2 linked regions of the Arabidopsis thaliana genome follow. The protein of the gene in region 2 interacts with the protein of the main gene of each other region in a pairwise test. Each region holds a gene or a part of one and is shown on either strand. Other genes may lie near its edges. The genes, in order: ACD11 and PRA7.

Evidence for each region.
Region 1: the proteins of PRA7 (region 2) and ACD11 interact in a two-hybrid assay, tested with the Arabidopsis thaliana proteins (one study listed by BioGRID).

Annotation. Positions count from the first base shown.
Region 1 is NC_003071.7:14,623,507-14,635,249, reverse strand, and holds ACD11 (Glycolipid transfer protein (GLTP) family protein), read right to left. Parts: upstream 5,265-11,743; 5' UTR 4,826-5,264; coding exon 4,634-4,825; intron 4,413-4,633; coding exon 4,240-4,412; intron 4,043-4,239; coding exon 3,894-4,042; intron 3,578-3,893; coding exon 3,471-3,577; 3' UTR 3,168-3,470; downstream 1-3,167. Other genes in the region: AT2G34700 (Pollen Ole e 1 allergen and extensin family protein), read left to right, coding at 642-952; AIR9 (Outer arm dynein light chain 1 protein), read left to right, coding at 6,441-6,603, 6,933-7,762, 7,861-7,932, 8,213-8,278, 8,369-8,440, 8,525-8,590, 8,723-8,785, 8,876-8,941 and 7 more. UniProt on the Arabidopsis thaliana protein: Exhibits selective intermembrane transfer of ceramide-1-phosphate (C1P) and phytoceramide-1-phosphate. Does not transport ceramide (Cer) or GalCer, suggesting a requirement for phosphate in the headgroup for functionality.
Region 2 is NC_003070.9:20,581,657-20,592,126, reverse strand, and holds PRA7 (PRA1 (Prenylated rab acceptor) family protein), read right to left. Parts: upstream 3,731-10,470; 5' UTR 3,678-3,730; coding exon 3,108-3,677; 3' UTR 2,928-3,107; downstream 1-2,927. Other genes in the region: AT1G55200 (kinase with adenine nucleotide alpha hydrolases-like domain-containing protein), read left to right, coding at 78-252, 341-495, 573-667, 751-1,721, 1,816-1,976, 2,052-2,128, 2,206-2,353, 2,476-2,625 and 1 more; PLDEPSILON (phospholipase D alpha 4), read left to right, coding at 4,498-4,590, 4,679-6,060, 6,144-6,529, 6,643-7,070; AT1G55175 (uncharacterized protein), read right to left, coding at 7,697-7,830, 7,992-8,068, 8,342-8,417, 8,767-8,864, 9,062-9,162; AT1G55170 (DNA double-strand break repair protein), read right to left, coding at 10,421-10,470.

The sequences.
Region 1 (11,743 bases), on a different chromosome or scaffold from region 2:
AAAATATTTATATTATTAGCAAAAAAAAATAAAATTAGTTACCATGTAATCTCCTAGATCCATAACATCATAATTTACCGCAATTTTTTTTAATTAATTCCATGAAATTTAGTCTTCATATTAACTCATGTAGCAAGTTACATTTTGATTCTTGAATTAGTTTCGGTGTTTAAAGCATGTATGCATGCATTATACGGTCTCGCAGAAGATATTAGATATGTTCTATCCACTTGATGGCTACAAAATATGAGATGAAGTAGTGTTTGCCCCCAAAAAATAGTCTTGAGTTTAGGAAGTCTCATTATAGCTAACGATGCATGGTAGACATATTTCTGAATGAAGGAACTTGAATTAACGATTTTAATCCAAAAATTAGTGTGACTCAAATAAGCACTGATATGCTTAAGGTAAATTCCACTTATAGTGGTATTTGTATTTTTATAGTGTTGCATGCATGTTCTCTTCTTTTCAAACCAAACGACAAATTATTAGAAAACTTAAAACTGTATTTTAAAAAATTTACACATATGAAAAAAAATGTTACAATATGCATGGTACTTGTGCATTTCGCATTCGTCGAGTCTCTCACGCCACTTGGCTTTCATGCATCAAGTAAATCTTTTCGTTATTTTCAATGATAGGAGCGACCGTAAAGCTTGCATGCAACAACACAAAGAGAGGTGTGACAATGGAGACAAAAACAGACAAAAACGGATACTTCTTCATGCTAGCCCCAAAAAAACTCACCACCTACGCTTTCCACACGTGCCGGGCTTGGCCTACGAATCCTGGACCCACGACTGCAACGATGACATGCACCGTGCCGTCAAAGCTCAACAATGGAATAACCGGTGCTATGCTTAAGCCTTCTAAGACAATCAACATCGGTGAACACGACTACGTTCTCTTCTCTGTTGGTCCCTTCGCGTTTGAGCCTGCCTGTGCTCTTTGAAGACTATACTTTCGTTTTATGTATTTGGTGTGTGCTTGATTGTTATAATGATGATCACTAGTGATTTTAATGTTCTGTCTTGTTTGTTTTCTTGGTACGTTTCCATTTGAAATTTGTGTGTTTTGACATTATAAGATCGTTAGTGTGCATGTTTGTAGTAATTAGTACTATTTGTGGGGTTGATATGGTCTCAAACCATTGCTCTGACATTTCACAGTTTTATCAGTTGAAAACTTCAAGTAGGTACTTCCTTCTCCGGATCATTCATGAGATGGAAACCCAAATAAGGTTTTTGCTTGAAAATGTGAAATTTGGGAAGCCAGAAACGGCATCAGATATGGTTCTTGAAGAAGTTTGATCGACATAGTCCGGTTTATTTGCTGTGTAGTTCAGCCAACTAACGAAATCATCCCATCAGAGATAATGCCAAGATGGGCTGATATAGGTTGGTTTCTTGATGTTATGGTCAACACCGCAGTTTCCACACATCACTCATACTTCATCCTGTGGACACTTATGACATAAGCCATCGAGATATGATTATTAGAGGTGTGGCAACAGCATTCAGAAGTTTATTCCTATCGAACGCTAGATCTGAAGAAGAAGCTAACAAATTTGTTGACATGTCTTGAACTCTAGGCAGGCTTGGTACATCTGTTAATTATGTGATTTTTAATTCTTTTCATGAACTCATGTCTCTTCTTACATGTTTTTATTTGTTGATTTTGCTATCTCTACTATATATTTGCATAGTATCTGTATTGCTTTCGTTTCGGTTCTCTATATATATATATATAGAAGTAACATGTAACAATAACATTGCAAATTTGTAATGTATAACAAAATCATTGAAATATCAAGAATAGAGGTACAATATCATTAAATTAAACAAAACTTAATTATCAAGCAGCGGTATAAAGAGAAAATTTTGCAGAGTCGCATTATCGATCTGCTATGGCTTTAGGTTACTAATCTAAACCAAAAATACCAAATAAGCAAATAAACCACAAAGCAGAATAAAAGCAACCAATTGTATAAGTAAATTGAACACATCCTTTGACGACAGTCCCTCTCCGCCACAACATTTGACATGTCGTTTGGCCCAATAGAAACTCGCCACTAGAGCCATGATGAGGAGGAGACCAACAAGCAAGGTGGCTATAATAATGTAACCAATATTCTTCATATTGCTCTTCGAATTCACTGCACCAAAAATTTCTTCTTTTTAACTTTGTTTTGTGTCTTCTTCTTCTCCGGTATAGGTGATGTTTATATACACGTCTTGTCAACAGAAAAGTTAACATTTTTCACTAAGGAACATTGGAAGTTTTACATTTTACGGCACTTTCTTGATCCTCATACCATCATATATGTACACATGTATTTAGTGAATCAAAACTATTAAACTATTTTAACATTTTTCTTCTAAAATTAATAATTAATTTCTAAATTTCCTTAATTATTGTACAAAAAATTAAAAGCAATAAGTTTTTAAATTTCATTAATTATATGATGAAGAGTTTATATTTTTTTTCTCATTTTTCATTTTTTTTTAATTTTTTAATTACAAGATATATATAGTTTCTTTATGTTTAATTTTTTTTATATTTAATATTTTCTTAATTCAAAACTAAAATAATTATATTTCAATTTTTAGTTTATTTATTTATTTATAAGATACTAATAGTTTCTTTATATTTATCTTCTTTACTTTTCAATCCTTTTTAATTTTTATTTTTAAATTATAAGAGACATTTAGCTTTTTAATATTTATCTTCTTTACTTTTTAATCATAAATATTTTATGATAAATTAATTAAATTATGTATTGCTTGTTTTAGATACTGACATATCAAGCTGTGAGAGAGAGTTAAGCTTCTTTCATATATATAATACAACTAAAAAATTGAATCGTCAAAGAAAAATACCAGTAAAACAGAAATTTTCTGATTTTAAAAGGGCAAAAAGGTTAATAATGCCGAATTTTAACGAAGACGCTTTTGTCCGAAAAAGATTGTTAACTAGCGATGACTATGAGTCTTGAGATTCTTCACCAATAAATGCCGACTCGCTTGGATTAGGGATATATATCATCAAGATACGTGATTACTGGTGCCCATGCATTTACATAGTAATCTTACATTGTTAAATTTAACATTTTGTTACTATGTAATCTTACCTACGAAAATTAAAAATTAAAAATAATATATTTTTTTGTTGAATAAGTAACACAACTTGAAGCACCAACTACTTTGGTTTATACTAGAATTTCAAAACCAAAGAGAGTGAAATTGAAACAAACCGTTTAATACGTTCCTACAACCCGTGTAAAGCTTCTTCTGCTTACTATGAGATAAACTGTGTTTATTAAAAGAAGAGATAAAACGACAGATTAAGGACATACTCAATTTATTCCAATGTATTTCGTCGCTGTTGTTATGACATTACATAGCTTGATGTGAGAACATAGGTTATTTTGTCTAAAGAGTAACAATAGTTATGCCTTTTTTTCAGGCTCTTCACCAATCAATACCGAGTTGCTTGGAGAGGAATAGATTATCAAGATACGTGATTAATGGTGCCGATGAATTGACATAGCTTTGCATATGTATCTTAGCCGCCGCCTCTGTAACAACATTCATAAATAAATGAAAAAAACAATATCGTCAGCGAACATAATGAAGAAGAAACTCGATTTATGAAATCTCAAACAGAGATAGTATTGGAAAATTCAAAATCTAATATCCTACTGCCAAATGAACTTAAAACCAATGTGAATCTCAAAGAGTTCTCTCTTATGATACCAGGACTTATACAGGCCAAATATTGCCGTGATATCTACCTAATCCTGTGAAGACCTTGAAACTAATCTGACTACTTAAACTACTAGTTTATCAAACACACCATCCACTTTGAGCATATTAACTAGTTGATGAACTCACCATCCTCTTTGAGCATATTAAGTAGGTGAGCCCTTGTGGGAAGAGCATACATCCCAAGAGAAACAGCTTTCCGTATAGCCCATCCATGGTGGGGAGCAAACACTTGAGCATAAGACTTAGTTGCTGGATCCTTCAAGGAGTTATCTCCTCTGCAAAAGATATCAAACTACATTTCAATCTTCTAATCTTGACCAAAAATAAAAGAAAACTACAACAGGACTCCATTTTTTCATTTACTTCAGTGTCCATATTTAAATCACACATCCTACAAACTGGCACGGCTAATGCATTTGATCAAAATTTTCACAAGAACTCAAATAAGAGAGAGTTCAGAAGAATCACTTACTCGGAAGCTATGATCTGTTCAAAGAGAACTTTGACCATGTCAAGACCACGCTTAACCCTCAAAAGGTTTCTCGTATGACTACCAGCTTTCCTTACACAATCTGCCTCAATATCTTTGTCCATCATTACCACTAATGTCGATATCGAACTCGACGCCCTCACAAGATCATCAACCTATAGTCACATTCACAAGTTTTAACATTTCATTTTCCAAAACATTCATCCTCCAGATAAACAAACACAACATCCATTTCCATCAAATTAGCAAAATTCAGTCTGAGTACTACAGAAACTAAATCAATTCCAACATCTCACAATATACTCAATAGTACATGAAAGTGAACACAACTAGAAAAAGATTCGGACTTTGATTCAAATCTACTACATAAACAAACCTTGGCAACATAGTCCATTTCCGCAAACTTAAAAGCTATTCCAAGGCAACCAAAGAGAGGCGAGACCAGAGAGCAAGCGTGAGAGAATTGCGTTACAGGAACTTCCGGATTCGGTGAATTCACGATGATTGCTAGTTTTTTGAAAGCGGCTGAGATTTTTCTCAGTGGCTTATCTGCTTCCGAATCCGCCATGGAAGATCTCTCTCCTTCTCTCTCTCTGTCGTCTTCTCCTGATTAACAAGTTTTGTTCTTGTGTGATTATTCCGATTGGTGTTCTGTGATTTGCCGCGGAATCTACTTTGCTGCAAGACGACTCAAAAAGGCGGCGATTCGCTGATCACTAATTGTCTTTGTTTGGCGTTCAGATCATTCCTATCCTTCATCTGGATAGTATTATCCTCACCGTGTGAATGAATAACCGAATCCAACCGAAATAACCTGTAGGAATACCGAAATAATAGAATTGAATCCGAACCAAATTCGGTTTTGTGCAATTGAACCGAAGAAACATAAATACGTATGCTTAAACTATAGATAGTAGTTGGGCAATAGACTTGTGTTGAAGCTACTTGAAGAAAAGATGATGATGATGATGAATTATGAATAATGTTCAAGAATTAAGATATGAAGCTTTCATTGGGATACTTTAGTTAAAAAGATTATCATCATCAACAAATGTGATTTTTTTCAAACTTTCATTTATGTTCCACTCTGGCTATACATATTTTTGTTTTTCGATTCTTTTCATTGATTAAAACAAGGTACCAAAATTATAGGTAGGGGATAATAATATTTAGTGGGTTATACTAATAATTATTGGGTAGAAGGAATGGCGGATGCAATTATTTTGATTACTTATAAAAGATAGTGACATTAATTGATTCTTAGGTGGAGCTTATTTTAAAATTAATTGAAGATTTTTATGAGTAATAATTTAGGATAAGTAGAACACAAAAAATTTAAATTTTTTTAAAAAGGAATCTGTTTTCTTGACTTTTTGAGCACATCATTTTATCGTTGGTTAAATAAATAAAAACAATTTCATCAGTTTTCGAAAAACGTCCACTTGCCATTTAACTCTGCCTTTACGGTTTCCGCCAATTTAAAATTCTCTAAATTTTCAAACTTTTCTCTCTCACCATCAAATTCTCTAATTTATTCTCTTTTTATAATGTTCCTCTCTTTTCTTCTGGATAATTACTTTTCATTATAGTCCCTATACTACTATAATTATCCACAACTGTCTCATACTTTTATAACCGTTTTATCATTTTCACCGGGTAAACTTAGAAACAAAATTGAGTTTCCGACATCGCATGATAATTTTAAATGTAAGGTACTTGCATGGAACTTTAAAAAATAAGAGGGTGAAAAACATAAATTAAAGTATAATATAGGGGTGTATATTTTGGGTTAAACATATTACACAACACACTCTTCCGCTACACACTGTTTACACTGTTCCTTACTTTTTTTTCTTTTTCTTTCGCCAACATCTCTCTCTCCAGCTATTTTCCCTCAATTTTTAATCGTCGTTTTCACTTTTGTTCGATTCCATTCAAAAAAGCTTCAATCAGTGAGCTGCGTTTTTTATTCTCTGCTTCATCCAGATCTACATTTCTCTGTTTCAGCCTCTATTGCTCTGTTTAACAAGTTCTCAACGGCCGGAATCGTCGCCGGGATTCTCGCCACCGGAGTTATTGTGAAACGGTGAAAATGGGTTTTTGATTTTACTGGTTACTTCATTGTTCAGTGCAGTAAGTATTTATTTTCCTTGTCCTGTCTTACTATTGGTTTATTTCCTTAAATGAAGAAACTTTATTTTCCCCGAATTTCTTCATTGCTAAAAACTCTCACTTTCTGCAATTTCGTCTGCTTGTTTCACTCACAAGAATTTCACATTTTTTTCAAAAATAAACACTGCTTAATGCGGATTGGTTGTTCACAAAAGGACCAAAAAATCGTAGAAGGTAACCGACAGTGTTAGCTGAAAGAAGCCAGAAACTCTGTTTGTCTGTGTTCTTGAATTTAGACAATCTACTAAAGTCCGTACTTTTTTTATTAGTAAATCCTGTTATGACCGGACCCAATAAAGTAGAGTAATTGTTACATGCGCGTTCCATTCCAAACAATGTGCGTGGGCCACTTGGTCATTTGATTCTGTATTTTTACTTCGGAGAAATTTGGATACAACAAATAAAGTAGAGAGATTGTGTATAATGAATAAAGTTTCCTTTTTTTTGTTAATGATTTGATCATGCGTCTCTTCTGATTTGAGTTTCTTTTGTATCTGCATAAGTTTGGATTGATTTCACTATGGAGGAAGTAGCAGCTAAGGTTGAGGAAGAAACTGTGGAAACCAATGTAGATGCAGTGAAAGAGGACAATGCAACTATAGCTAATGAAAGCAGAAGCCCAGAGAGTGTTTCTGCAGTGTCTGTGGTGTCAAATCGAGCTGCTTCTACTAAAAAGAAACCAGTTATTAGTTCGAATTTAATAAAGCCAACTGCGTCTTCTTCATTACGGGTCTCGGGTACTACGCCTGTGACTATCAGGAGAAATAGTACTGGAGGAGTAACAGAGAATTTAGCTGGTACCTCTAAGGTTCTGCCTAAGCAAGTGAGTACTACTGCCTCACGTACTGATCCGGTAAGACGATCACTTCCAGAATTGAGGAAGAGCTCTGTGTCTTCTCTTTCTGCTAAGACTGTATCCAAACCAAGCCTTTCCGAGAGTAAAAAGTCTGTCCCCGTATCACCAGGTAGTCGGAGTTTGACAAAGTCAACTGGGTTTAGTTTAAGTAAGCCTGAGTCTTCTGCTAGACCAGCCATGAGTGTTTCTGTGTCTTCGAAAAGAGCTCCATCTTCATCAGTTGACAGTAGTGGCAGCAGGACTAGTAGTGGAAGACTACACTCTACTCTCACAAGTGGGAGGACAGTTTCTAAAGTTTCTTCTCCCTCTGCGGGATCATCACCTTCTGTTTCTAGCAGTATAAGATCAAAGTCATTTTCGTCACCTCTAGACCGGACTTCCAACTTCTCTGGACGGAAGAAAACATCTACCCCTGAAAGCCGTGATTCACGACTCATTATTCTTCCAAAGGTGGAGGTTAAAGCTGGCGATGACATGGTACAAATTCACTTTCTCTTTGTACTTGCTAGATTTTCATACAATAGGTTCAATCCTTTCTGTGGTTGTTGATTAATGGATGTCTGTAATTGCTTAAGAGATTGGATCTTAGAGGCCACAGGATTCGCAGTCTAACCTCTGGTGGCTTACACTTATCACCAAACTTAGAGGTAAACTTATATTTCCATAGTAACTTCACAGTGTTCTAGTGCAATGCTTTGTGACAATGATGTTTATGTACATATATGCCAATTGTGGATTTGAATAGAAGTAGGGAGGATTAGTTATTTACATCTCACGAGGAAAAACTTTGAATCTTCTTAGTGAGTTCCTGCTGCTAGTTTTAAAAATCTCCGAACGACAAATACAATCTTTTGGACACTAAATATGCCGCCTCATTTATGCGAGTATTCAACTTATTTTAATTTCCTCTACTTCTACTCTTTCCAGTTTGTCTATCTTAGAGACAATCTCCTATCTACGCTGGAAGGTATTGAGATATTGAATCGAGTCAAGGTCAGTAAATTCATTTTCCTGGGGTTCTTGGTTTTTAATAGATATATATGCTCACACTAGCTATGATTCTGTTACTATCATTAATCTCAGGTTCTGGATTTGAGTTTTAATGATTTCAAAGGGCCTGGATTTGAACCACTTGAGAATTGCAAAATGCTGCAGGTTTCTTTCTCTCCCATTCTATCCTTGGTTCTTCCTTCATGAGTGCTATCTGATGAACATTTAAATCTTATATTACTTGGGCAGCAACTTTATCTTGCTGGAAATCAGATAACTTCACTTGCTAGTCTGCCTCAACTTCCAAACTTAGAGGTGAGCATCAGAAATTACAAAGCCTCTTGTTCCAATTTTGTGCCAAATAATTGCTATCAAGTCTTCATACTTACATACTTGTGGATTGCCCCTTACTTTTTCCAACTATCACCTTTCTTGTTCCCATGGTAGTTTCTCTCGGTTGCTCAAAATAAATTAAAGTCACTTGCAATGGCAAGCCAGCCCCGGCTTCAGGTAGATTTTCTGTTTCAGAATTGAGGTTGTTTTCAGTACCTTGTTACAAGTCATAGTTTTTTAGAGATCTTATAAATTTTTTTTTCTCAGGTACTAGCAGCAAGTAAGAACAAGATAACAACTCTGAAGGACTTTCCGTATCTACCAGTTCTTGAGGTTTCAATCTTTATGTTCCCAATTTTTATTTTTTTCACACATTTCTTATTTGGCTGATTGGTTGTCGCATGCACTGCTTTAATAAAACATCTTATGGGACATGAGATTACCTAGTATAAAAGATTGAAAAACCACCACTTATGGGAAATTCTCTCCTCTGAACCAATGGTCCAATTTGAGTACTTAATTTTTTGGTAATGGCATTTGGCCCTGTTATAACAGAAACAATGTTCCATTAATTCAATACATATATACTAATACGTAGTTTGTAATTTCATATTGTGTTTTTCCTTTTACAGCATCTGCGGGTTGAGGAAAATCCATTGCTGAAGATTTCTCACTTGGAAGCGGCATCCATACTACTCGTAGGTCCTACCTTGAAGAAATTCAATGACAGAGGTACTCTTTTGTAGAACGAAGTGCTGTAGTTTGCTTAAGACTGATCGTTTCATGAGAAAGATGACTAGCATGTCTAAGTTTTCATTCATCATATGGCCTTCCAAGTAAGAATTTTTCTGATGGTGAAATCTGAGCAATAGCATGTTAGAAGAGGTAGGAGATTTTGCGATGTTAGATCAATGGAGATAAACACAAATGATTTTATCTTTATCAATTGTTTTTGATAATCTGGATGGAAACTACTTCTGAACGGTTGGATTTCTTGGAATTGTGGGAATAACACAACTAACATACTGGCTGTATTTTAAAAAATAATAACCGCAATGATTAAATATAAAAGATTTAGGAATGAAGTGTTTTACTGATACATTAGAAAGTATTCAGAAGTTGTTTCTTGGGATGTAGCTTGGCATTTATCTAGGTCTATGTGGTCCATGATAACCTTAAAATTTTTCTTTAGATCTCTCTCGTGAGGAAGTGGCAATTGCCAAGCGTTATCCTCCACAAACAGCTCTCTGCCTCAGAGAAGGTTGGGAGTTTTGCAAGTCTGATCTTGCAGCAGGTATGTATCTGCCTCTCAGAGTTGTATAATCTTTCATTGTAGCTTGATGGTAGTGCAATCTTCATATGAAAACTAAAACCTTTCACTCTCCCTTGATTTTTATTTGTTACCAATGGTCACACTTAGAAAGTTGACTGTTTAATCAAATTAGCATTTTCATCCCTTTCGTACTAGTTGCTAGTTGAACTTTTATGTGAATAGATAAGTCCGTTTGTTCAACTCCAAGTTCCGTATTTGCATCTAATAACTTTTAAATATTCATATTCCTGCAACTTCTTGTGTGCAGAATCGACATTCCGCTTCTTAGTTGAGAGGTGGAAGGACACATTACCTTCTGGTTATCTTATTAAAGAAGCACATGTTGACCGACCTTCTGAAGAAGCTCCCTGTCAATGCCACTTTGGTCTTTTTCAGGAAAGTCCTACTGCTACAGATCAAGAATTAGCCCTGAAATTTCAATGGTCTGTGGCGGACAGATCTCTTTCTAATTTCGTTCCTATTCTTAATGCAACCAAGGAGGTAAAATTTACTTTGCCATATTTTCATTTGCATGTGTAAAAAAGTATCTGTTCTTTTATTCTCTTTCTAATTTGCAATAGGTCTATTGGCCCAAACGTGAAGACATTGGTAAAATTCTAAAGATAGAATGTACACCTGTTATGGCTGAGACTGAATATCCATCCATATTTGCCATATCTTCCCCAGTTCAACGAGGTATGCTTCTTCAGTTATACAATAGGCCATATGGACGTTTTCCATTTTCATGTGCTTTGCACTGTATCCTTCTATTGGTGTCCTCTAGAATATCACAGTGAAGTGCTGTGCAGGAAAGGGAATACCAAAAGTTGTGAGCCTTGAATTAAATGGGGAACTAGTTGAGGGGAATATTATCAAGGGTCAAGCAGTGGTTGCATGGTGTGGTGGGACACCAGGAAAGTGTATTACCAGGTAAATCGTGTTTTCTGCTATCTCCTTTTGTTATATGCAGCTTCTAATAATTCTGTCTATTCTAATTTGTTGATTCACTTATCATTAATAACCAAAGAGGTATGGTTTCCTTTTTTAAAACCAGTTGGTTGAGGAGAAAGTGGAATGGGAGCCCTGTGGTGATCGATGGAGCTGAAGATGAGGAATATATGTTATCTTTAGATGATGTGGGATCAAGTATGGTTTTCATGTACACACCAGTCACAGAAGGAGGTGCAAGAGGAGAGCCTCAGTATAAGTACACAGAGTTCGTAAAAGCAGGTAGATGGAAAAAACTTCTAATAGATAGTATCTTTTCCTTTTTCACTACATTCGCATAGCATTGTCATTTGTGTTTCTTTGCTTTCATTATTGACTAATGGTTCAAAGTCTCTGTGGTTGCTTGCTTCTTTTGAATAGTTGTTGAATTCTTTACGATAGCAATAATCTTATTTATCTAATTTTATCTATGGATTAGTGTAAATTCCTGTCAACTGTTTTCAGATTGATTAACTTGCATGATAAAACTGATTCATGTAGTGTAGTGGTTGTTATTTGTATATTTCTTTATTTTTCATCTTTTAAACTACTAATGCCGCTGTCTGTGAATTTCCTGATCTGAGGGTACTAACTTTAAATTCTGGTGGCAGCGCCTCCATCTGTAAGTAATGTTCGAATTACTGGAGATGCTGTTGAAGGCTGCGTTCTCAAGGGGGTTGGAGATTATTTTGGAGGCAAGGAAGGTCCTAGCAAGTTCGAATGGTTACGGAAGAACAAGGAAACAGGGTAACTATACATGAGTGTCTGAATGTGTTGTCACTGCAGTATCTCTACTTTCTTTTTTCATGTTTCTTGGTCATGTTTGCTTAAAGCAT
Region 2 (10,470 bases):
AGAAGCTACTTTATCTCCAAGGATCATTTAGAAATCAAGAGGAATCTAGAGAATTGTTCTTGCAAAAGTCCTCTTAAATGAGCAGAGAGAAACAGGGGAAGAGATCAGGTTCTAATGGGACTGAGAAGGTTCTTGTTGCTGTCAAAGCATCTAGGGAGATTTCAAAGACAGCATTTGTTTGGGCCTTGACTCATATTGTTCATCCTGGAGATTGCATTACTCTGATTGTTGTTGTTACTTCTTACAATGCTGGTACTTTCTTCTTCTTTGGTATCCAATCATGGAGATTAGTTTGCTCTGTTTTATTCATTGTCTTTCTTTTGTTTGGTCTTTTTGTTAGGCCGAAAGCTATGGACTTTCCCTAGGTTTGCTGGAGATTGTGCTACTGGTCATTGGAAACTGCATTCTGATCCAATGTCTGAGATAAAGAGTGATCTCACTGATACTTGTTCCCAAATGATTCTCCAGCTTCATGATGTATATGATCCAAACAAGGTTTGAAAATTAGTCCACCATCAAAATAATGATATTCTGAAATATCTAGAGTTATTCTCATGCTTGTTTCTTTGAAGGTTAATGTCAGGATCAAGATTGTTTCTGGATCACCATGTGGAGCTGTTGCGGCTGAGGCCAAGAAATCTCAAGCAAATTGGGTAGTTCTTGATAAGTAAGTTAATAATCTGATTTTATTCTTCAGTTCTTTAGTTTTTACTCTCTTTGTGTGGTTGAATGATTATATTTCTTTTACAGGCACCTTAAGCATGAAGAGAAACGGTGCATAGATGAGTTACAATGTAACATTGTGGCGATGAAGCGTTCTGAGGCAAAAGTCCTGCGGTTGAACTTGGTCGGGTCTTCAACAAAGGAACCAGAATTAGCATCTGAAAAAAACAAAAACAGGTTGTTAGATTCTGTTAAAGCGGTTGTTACAACTACTCCAATGAGCAGTCCTGAGGTTGAGACATCATTCACAGGAACAGAAGCTTGGACTTCATCAGTATCTAGCTCTGACCTCGGTACATCATCGCCAGTTTTCACAGCTGAAGTGAGAAAGGATGAAACTTTGGTCGTCAAAGAGAATGAATCTGATTCTGATTCAGAGAGCGAAAATCTATCACTACCTTCCTTAAGTAAGAGATTCCAACCATGGATATCAGAATATCTTAGCACTCATTGCGTCTCGATGCAGGAATCAACGAGAGGCGATGATAAGGCTGTTCAAGTATCTACTAAAAAGGCTTTGCTTGAGAAAATTTCTAAGCTTGATGAAGGAGAAGAAGCAGCTATGTCAAGTAAAAGGAAAGACTTGGAGGAGTATAGTGGAACCTTAAGAGCGTTATCACGAAATGCTCCTCCTGTTTCACCTCCTCTCTGTTCTATATGCCAGCACAAAGCGCCTGTATTTGGAAAACCACCGAGGTTTTTCTCCTACAAAGAGTTAGAGCTTGCAACAAACGGGTTTTCGCGAGCTAATTTTTTGGCAGAAGGTGGATTTGGATCTGTTCATAGAGGTGTATTACCTGAAGGCCAGATTGTAGCAGTAAAGCAACACAAAGTGGCCAGTACACAAGGAGATGTAGAGTTTTGCTCTGAAGTAGAAGTTTTGAGCTGTGCTCAGCATCGAAACGTAGTTATGTTAATCGGTTTCTGCATCGAAGATACCAGAAGACTCTTGGTCTATGAATACATATGCAATGGATCATTAGACTCTCATCTATACGGTAAATAGAGTTTCCAAGTTAGTTAAAGATGTTGTTAACCTAAAAAACACTTAACTAGAGTTATCTAACTAACTTTCATGAAATGTCCATTTAGGTCGCCATAAGGACACTTTGGGATGGCCTGCAAGACAAAAAATAGCGGTTGGAGCGGCTCGAGGTCTTCGATATCTTCATGAAGAGTGTAGAGTAGGTTGCATTGTTCACCGAGACATGAGGCCTAACAATATACTAATTACTCATGATTATGAACCACTGGTATTTATATTTTCTTGAACCACAATTTACACTTTTTTATACATTCGTTTGATTCTGTTTTTGTTTCTCTTTCAGGTTGGAGATTTTGGTTTAGCAAGATGGCAGCCTGATGGAGAGCTAGGTGTAGACACGCGTGTGATAGGAACTTTCGGGTAACAAAATTTATAACTAAATCATCATTCTCACTCTAGAGTAATTTCTCAACTACTTTCTGTGTTTCTTGTTTTAGCTATTTAGCTCCAGAGTATGCTCAAAGTGGACAAATCACAGAGAAAGCCGATGTTTACTCGTTCGGGGTTGTATTGATCGAACTAATCACGGGTCGTAAAGCAATGGATATCTACAGACCAAAGGGACAACAATGTTTAACTGAATGGGTAAATCCATAAGTTTCTTCTTTTTAAGGTTTCTTAGCTCATTTTCAGTCTCTTCTTGTAAATGAAATCTAAAAGTTTCTTTCTTGAAGCTCATTTTGTTATTTTATTTTCTTTGTGAGCAGGCAAGATCTTTATTAGAAGAGTATGCGGTTGAGGAATTAGTTGATCCGAGGCTCGAAAAGCGATATTCAGAAACACAAGTCATTTGCATGATTCATACAGCTTCATTGTGTATACGTAGAGATCCACATTTGCGTCCTCGCATGTCTCAGGTAAAGAAAAGATTCACCATTCTTGAAACATGTTCATTTCTTTAAGTCAATAAAACTCTCTCAAGTGTGTCTGCTCTTTTGCTTGTTGTTGAAGGTGTTGCGTTTATTGGAAGGAGATATGTTAATGAATGAAATCTCAGGGAGGTTTAATGGAAGACTATCCACTGAGAAAGGTCTCAGAGATCATAACTAAAAGCTCAACTAGCCAATCTGATCACTTTCTTTTGGTATAGTGCGTAGGATCAATAGAAGAATTTTGTAAAATCAAAGTCCTCTTAATTGACAATTATGGTTTTTTAGTAGCTTTATCCAAAGTGATTAGTGTTTGTAGTGCTAATCATGTAATAACGTAATTAACCAACAAAACATACTCAAAAATTGTACTGTTGTCAACAAATTGAACAAAGTAGAAGAACATGTCAAGTTTTCTCAAATCGCACCAAACTCAGTAACATACAAAAAAAAAAAACAAATTTTTGGATTTACGACGAAGGGTATGACATCAGCCCTGAAGCTTCAGTAACCGCCGCAGCTTCTTCATCAAGAAACAAATTATCACTTCTTCTAACCGCCGCATGAATCAGAACCAACACGGCGGCGGTTAACAAAGATCCCAGAATATTCGAAGTAGCGTGAGTCAACAAAAGCATCACAACCGTCAAAACCGATAAACCAATAAGAACCGTCCGATCATCAATCTGATAACCAAAAACAACAAGAGGCTCGTCACGGAGGAAATAGAGAAAGATCCAGAAGACGACCAAGATTGATAACACGATCAACGAGGTTGGGTGATATAGAAGGCTTAGGAAGAGGATGAAGAGAACTCCGATGGCGTAATTAGCTCTGAAATAGCCGAGATTCGTTTTGATCCTCGAGATCGCGTCGAAGAAACCGTGAGGGAGAGTCATTGATTCGAAATCGAACATTGATTTCCATGGGCGGCGCGTAGCTAGACCGGATTTTATACGGTGTTTGGCGCGTGAGATGTATTCGAGATCTATCGCCGGTGATGGATGAGACGACGTCGGAATCGCCCCGTAGTTCGTCATTTTTGGAGAAGAGAGACACGAAGCTTTTTTTTTTGTTGGTTGTAATAATTTATAAATTGCTCAGTGTCCCTATGGATTAGGTGATGGTGCTAATGTAAATGTCACATATGGATAAAAGTTGTTACATGCCCAATAAATACATAAATGCTTTATATTGTAATAATTTTTTATTTGTTTTGCAACTGTACATTTATGGTAACAATATTGGTATTATATGTGTTTAACAGTCAGCATCATAGAGACATATTCTTAGGAAAATGTACAGCATATTATATTCTCTGTCATTTTCAAAACATAAATCTGATTAATTACTTGTAAACAGCATAATTTTATTCATTAGAAGGATTAATTTTTTTTTCCGGCAGAATAAAAATTTCATATTATTAGTTCACCAAAGAAACTGCGACCGAGTGGTTTCTTTGGCAGCGCTTTGTTGCTGCACGTGGCTTATCCCCACAAATATTTACAAACTCCACCAGATATTTTCATGCTTTCACATTTTAGTCCCAACCTTTTGTTTGAATACCATCTAACACTTTGCTTTTTAAAATTCCTATTTTTAAAAACCGAAGTCGAATGCTTGATTTGTATTCAAAGACACTTCACCTTCGATTTTGTCATCTATATGGTTGAATGTTTTCTTTAAGATTGTCCATGGAGAATCCTACAAGTTTCACCAAAAACATTAACAAATACATATACATATATGGATGGACATAACCTTGTGCATTCTGTAATTGACCAGCTTCAAACACATACTTGACAATTCACAGAAAATTATCTCTCATTCTCTTAAAGATACATTTTGAATAAAGAGAAGATGGAGCTTGAAGAACAGAAGAAGTACTTTCATGGAACACTAGAGATTACAATCTTCGATGCAACACCTTTTTCTCCTCCATTTCCTTTCAATGTAAGTCTATATCATATACTGAATTAGTGACTCTGATGATGTTATCATTGTGTTCATTTTCATGAGCTTTTGTTATCTTTGTTCACAGTGTATATGTACAAAGCCAAAAGCAGCTTACGTGACCATCAAGATAAACAAGAAGAAAGTTGCTAAAACAAGCTCAGAATACGACCGTATTTGGAATCAGACTTTTCAGATCCTCTGCGCTCACCCGGTTACTGACACGACTATCACCATCACGCTCAAGACTCGATGTTCTGTTCTCGGAAGATTCCGAATCTCTGCAGAACAGATCCTGACATCTAATTCAGCAGTTATCAACGGGTTCTTCCCTCTGATTGCAGACAATGGGTCAACGAAACGTAACTTGAAGCTTAAGTGTTTGATGTGGTTCAGACCGGCTTATCTTGAACCGGGATGGTGCAGAGCGCTTGAAGAAGCGTCTTTTCAAGGTATTAGGAACGCAAGCTTCCCTCAAAGATCGAACTGCAGAGTCGTACTGTATCAAGATGCACACCACAAGGCCACATTTGATCCAAGGGTTGATGATGTTCCTTTTAATGCAAGGAATCTATGGGAAGATGTTTACAAAGCGATCGAAAGTGCTAGGCACTTGGTTTACATTGCAGGATGGGCACTAAACCCTAATCTTGTTCTTGTACGCGACAACGAAACTGAGATTCCACATGCGGTTGGAGTAACGGTTGGCGAGCTTCTGAAACGGAAATCAGAGGAAGGTGTAGCGGTGAGAGTAATGTTGTGGAACGACGAGACGTCTTTACCAATGATCAAGAACAAAGGTGTAATGAGAACAAACGTCGAAAGAGCTCTTGCTTACTTCAGAAACACAAACGTTGTTTGTAGATTGTGTCCAAGATTGCACAAAAAGCTCCCTACAGCGTTTGCACACCACCAAAAGACAATAACACTGGATACACGGGTGACAAATTCAAGCACGAAGGAGCGAGAGATCATGAGCTTCCTTGGCGGGTTTGACCTTTGCGATGGTCGATATGACACTGAGGAGCATTCACTGTTTCGTACACTCGGAACAGAAGCTGATTTTTACCAGACAAGTGTAGCTGGAGCTAAGCTAAGTAGAGGCGGACCAAGAGAGCCATGGCATGATTGCCATGTGTCCGTGGTTGGAGGAGCGGCTTGGGATGTCCTGAAGAACTTCGAACAGCGATGGACGAAACAGTGTAACCCTTCCGTGTTGGTTAACACTTCAGGGATCAGAAACTTAGTAAACCTAACCGGACCTACTGAGGAAAATAACAGGAAATGGAATGTTCAAGTTCTGAGATCGATAGATCACATATCGGCAACAGAGATGCCAAGAGGTTTGCCGGTAGAGAAGAGTGTACACGATGGCTATGTCGCAGCAATTCGAAAGGCTGAGAGGTTTATCTACATCGAGAATCAGTATTTCATGGGAAGCTGTGATCATTGGGAGAGCAAGAACGATAAGTACGAAATTTCTCTTAACGAAGCTATTAAATATCCATTGGGAGATTCTGATCTATTTTAGTATTTCTTTTTTTGATGGATAGAATCTGCAGCGGATGCACAAACTTGATACCTGTCGAAATAGCGTTAAAGATTGCTGCTAAGATACGTGCAAGGGAGAGATTTGCTGTGTATATAGTCATACCGATGTGGCCGGAAGGGCCACCGGAGAGTGAAACGGTTGAAGAGATACTTCATTGGACGAGAGAGACGATGTCAATGATGTATCAGATCATTGGAGAGGCGATATGGGAAGTTGGAGACAAGTCGCATCCGAGGGATTATCTAAACTTCTTCTGTCTTGCAAACAGAGAAGAGAAGAGAGATGGGGAGTTTGAAGCAGTTTCGTCGCCCCACCAGAAAACGCATTACTGGAATGCGCAGAGGAATCGGAGATTCATGGTCTATGTCCACTCCAAGCTCATGATAGGTAACAAACAATCCGCAATTCACAATCTGAAATGAAAATATATTGAAGATTCGTTAAACTTTCACAAACTTTCACTTAAGATTTAAATTACAGAGATTGTCATATGTTTGTAGTGGACGACACATACATTTTGATAGGATCAGCCAATATAAACCAGAGATCAATGGATGGTTGTCGGGACACCGAGATTGCAATAGGTTGCTACCAAACCAATACCAACAACACCAACGAAATCCAAGCTTACCGGTTATCGCTCTGGTATGAGCATACCGGTGGCAAGATCACGGCAGATGACTTATCATCGTCAGAGCCAGAGAGTCTTGAATGTGTCCGAGGGTTACGGACAATAGGAGAGCAAATGTGGGAGATTTACAGTGGAGACAAGGTCGTAGACATGCTCGGTATCCATTTGGTCGCCTATCCAATTAGTGTGACAGGAGATGGTGCAGTTGAGGAAGTCGGTGACGGTTGCTTTCCTGATACCAAGACCTTGGTGAAAGGAAAGAGGTCCAAGATGTTTCCTCCTGTTCTAACCACCTGAAAAAATGTCCGAATCAGAATCATTCTTAGATCATAACTTGCAATACATATATATAAATAACATTCAGCCTGTTAATTATGATGAAATACGCATATAAATGTTTGATTATGAGAGGATGTATTTAGTGGTTAACACACTTACTGGTTTCTGTTATAACCATTCCGGTCCCTTTGTCGTTTCCAACTTGTAGATGAATGGTCTTTTCAAGCTTTGTCGCCTGTAACAAGGAGAAGAATAATCAAAACCTGTATATACATGAAACGAGCAGTTTTCAACAGCTAATATTTATGCAAAGCATACAATGCTACGTGACTTAGCAGACTGGATCTCTACATCTAATGTCTAAAAGGTGAACCGGAATGGAGCTTGAAGAAGAATCATTTCCTATCCGTGTCCAAGCTCATCTAATGGCTAAGTAACAAATCTCCCTTATTTCATCGTGTACTGTTCCAAGAAGCTTCACACTACTGGAAACTTGCATCTTTGCAGCACCGCTTCAATTCTAGATCTGGAGTAACAACTCTGTTAATCCTCAGAGATTACAGTCCAATGCTATTCAATATGTCCTTGATAAGAACACATGAGGGCAAACATTTCTGAAGATGTAAGTCGTTTCTAACTCACTCTTAAGCTGGAAAGTTCTCAGAGTCTTCGGAAAAGCAAGAGGGAAGTAAACTAAGTTCCTCTAGATTTAAATCGATACAACCTTTCATCCTTGTAAAACCTACACCTAACTTCAGAGCAATATAAAGACTTAAAACTTAAACCCACAGCAGTAGGTTAGTAGCAGTAAACTCCAGGATAAAGTGAGCTAATCCTATGTATTTCTTATCTACAAAACCTTTGCCTTTATTAACATGGGTAAGATAATCCTTTCCAATCTCTAAAGAACTTTGCTTCCGTGCTACTCCAGAAACCAACGTAGTGAACCATCTTCAAGAACAGCTACTTCTCCATCAGTCCAGCATTTCATCAACATTATCGTCTTTCTATAGATACTAATGTGAAATCTTGACAAGTCTCACAAATACTCTTCAACCTCCAGTGTCGCAAGCTCTACAGAGAATCCAAGATCTAAGTGGCAAAACTAATGATGCGGACATAGAGTAGGAAGAAAATGGGACTGTGTTTAGCTAAGTATCTATATGCAAAAACCACAAACATAAATGAATATCTATATGCCAAAACGAAAACGAACCTCTAGACGATATAACCAGATAAAAAAATCAAAACTTCCTCATATGGAAAGTTTTGTTAGAGAGATAGTATACCTGTCTCCAGACTCGGTAGGAAGATCGTTTTCCGTAATGCACGTCAACATCCTTTGGAAAGTGCATTCCCGAAAAACTGACGTAGTATCAACATAGTCAACAAAAGAGACAGAGAAGGTTCTCTGAAACTATAGACTTCTTCGTAAGAAAGTTGCTGTTAAGTGCTTTCTTGCTGACAAATTTCACTTACAAATGCAGCTTGTGCCCCTTCAAAGTTCATCTCTCCAAGCAACTACTAGGACCTCACCGTAAAATCATATCCTCTTTGCTACACTACACTTGAACGAAGCTTTTCTCTCCTTCTCATCTTTAAAGCTCCAAAACTAAGATATAAAATTCTGCATCAGAATGTCTACTCTAAACGTTTCAAACTAGTACTGAGCAATTCTGCACACTCAATCAACGATGTCCAAATAGATGCCCACCTTCAATATTTGCATAAAGCAAGGAATTATTACGGTTCAATGATCCCAGCTCAGATCTAGGCAGATAATTCCCATCTCGTGGCAAGCTGGTGGCCCGCCTATCAGAAAATGCAGAAGTCTCAAAAGCTGATGAAACACTCAGAAGACTCTGTAGACTGATTACTCAGATGACTCTGTAGACTGATTACTATGTCAATGATGAAGTAACTCCCATGAAAAGTCGCTTTGATTTGTCTTCTATTGATCCATTTGTCCTCAATGAGTAGGAATCTTCACCCAGCCTTCTAACATCGACCTCATTTTATGTTGTTTAGGATCAATATTCAATCTATGGAATAGAGATTCAGCCCAGTCACCTGCTAGCGATGCATCAGCTCCTGACCAGCGTCCATCCATTGGTTCCAACTGTGAAAATTAGTGGTTCGCCTAATGGCACAAGAGTTTGATGGTGGAAACAAGGAATAAATTCTTCCAATCCATTAGACGATTGCACGTGGGGGGAGTAAGGGCCATGCAACTCCAGACCCCGACCAAGTCCAAAACCACTGACAGCAAGTAGATTCAGTCCTATCGCAGTCATAGCTAAGAAGCTGAACGCTCAAACACTGCTCGAATAATCCCTGTTGCAGGTTTTCTGAAACGAAATATCCCGCTCATATTGATCCAGATGACCCTCAAAGACTCTCTTAGCTGCTGCTAATGGAAGGCTGTTAGCCTGATTACAGAAGGGCGTCATTGGTGATTCCCAAAATGAGTTCTGAGAAGCTGCTCACTATGGTCAGATGGCCATAGAGGAACAATATGTCTCTGTTCCTTCAATAGTATATTGAGCCTCATTCCCTTTACCAATTGAATCAGCATTGACATTACAAATCTGAGCTTGAATAAACAAGCTCAAGACAACTCAATGAAAAAACGCTGCCTCCTGACACAATCCAGAAATGGAAGTCATTCCAGTGTCTCCACTTCTTCTTAATGGAGCTTCTCCTATATCCCTTAAATATAGCCGAATCATACATAACACCGCTCACAAGAACAGTGGTCTGTGGTACTGCTACCTCCTTTTGCTTCTAGCAACAAGCAATTGCATCTTGAGAGTTTCTCCAAAAGATGTGGCCACAGTAAACAACTTTCGCTCAAATCTCTCTTTAGACAAAGAATCTAAAGCCTATAAGGTGTTAGCGCACCAGGAACTATATAAATTCATATACATGAGAAGGAAGAAGTCTGGGATGGAAGAAAAAATAGGGTATCCCCTCCTCTTATTAGTGCCAGTATGTTTTCTCAAACTTACTGGCACAAAAATAGAGTCGTCTGGATATCTATCCGAGGGATTAGCTTTTTCAAATAATCAAACCCAGGGTGTAACGGCAGAAGAATAAAATGGATAATAGAACACAATTAATAGCAAGCAAGAAGAACCAAATCGTCAAATTATTGAAACATACGAAATAGATTAGCCATCTAAGCTTGGCTAAAAAGAAAGAAAGAAAAAAAGCCATCTAAGTTACATAACTATAACGCCTTATTAAAAAAGCAGAAGAACTAACATTTAGATTTAGAGTAGATGCATACCCACAAACAACCAGAGGAGTATTGAGAAGTGGGCTATTTAGTCGTCACCTCATTCTTTTTCCACAGATCATTTTAGATTTCAATGACGATCCAAACGAGGTTTCTTCTGCGAGCCAGACCCATGGCTGT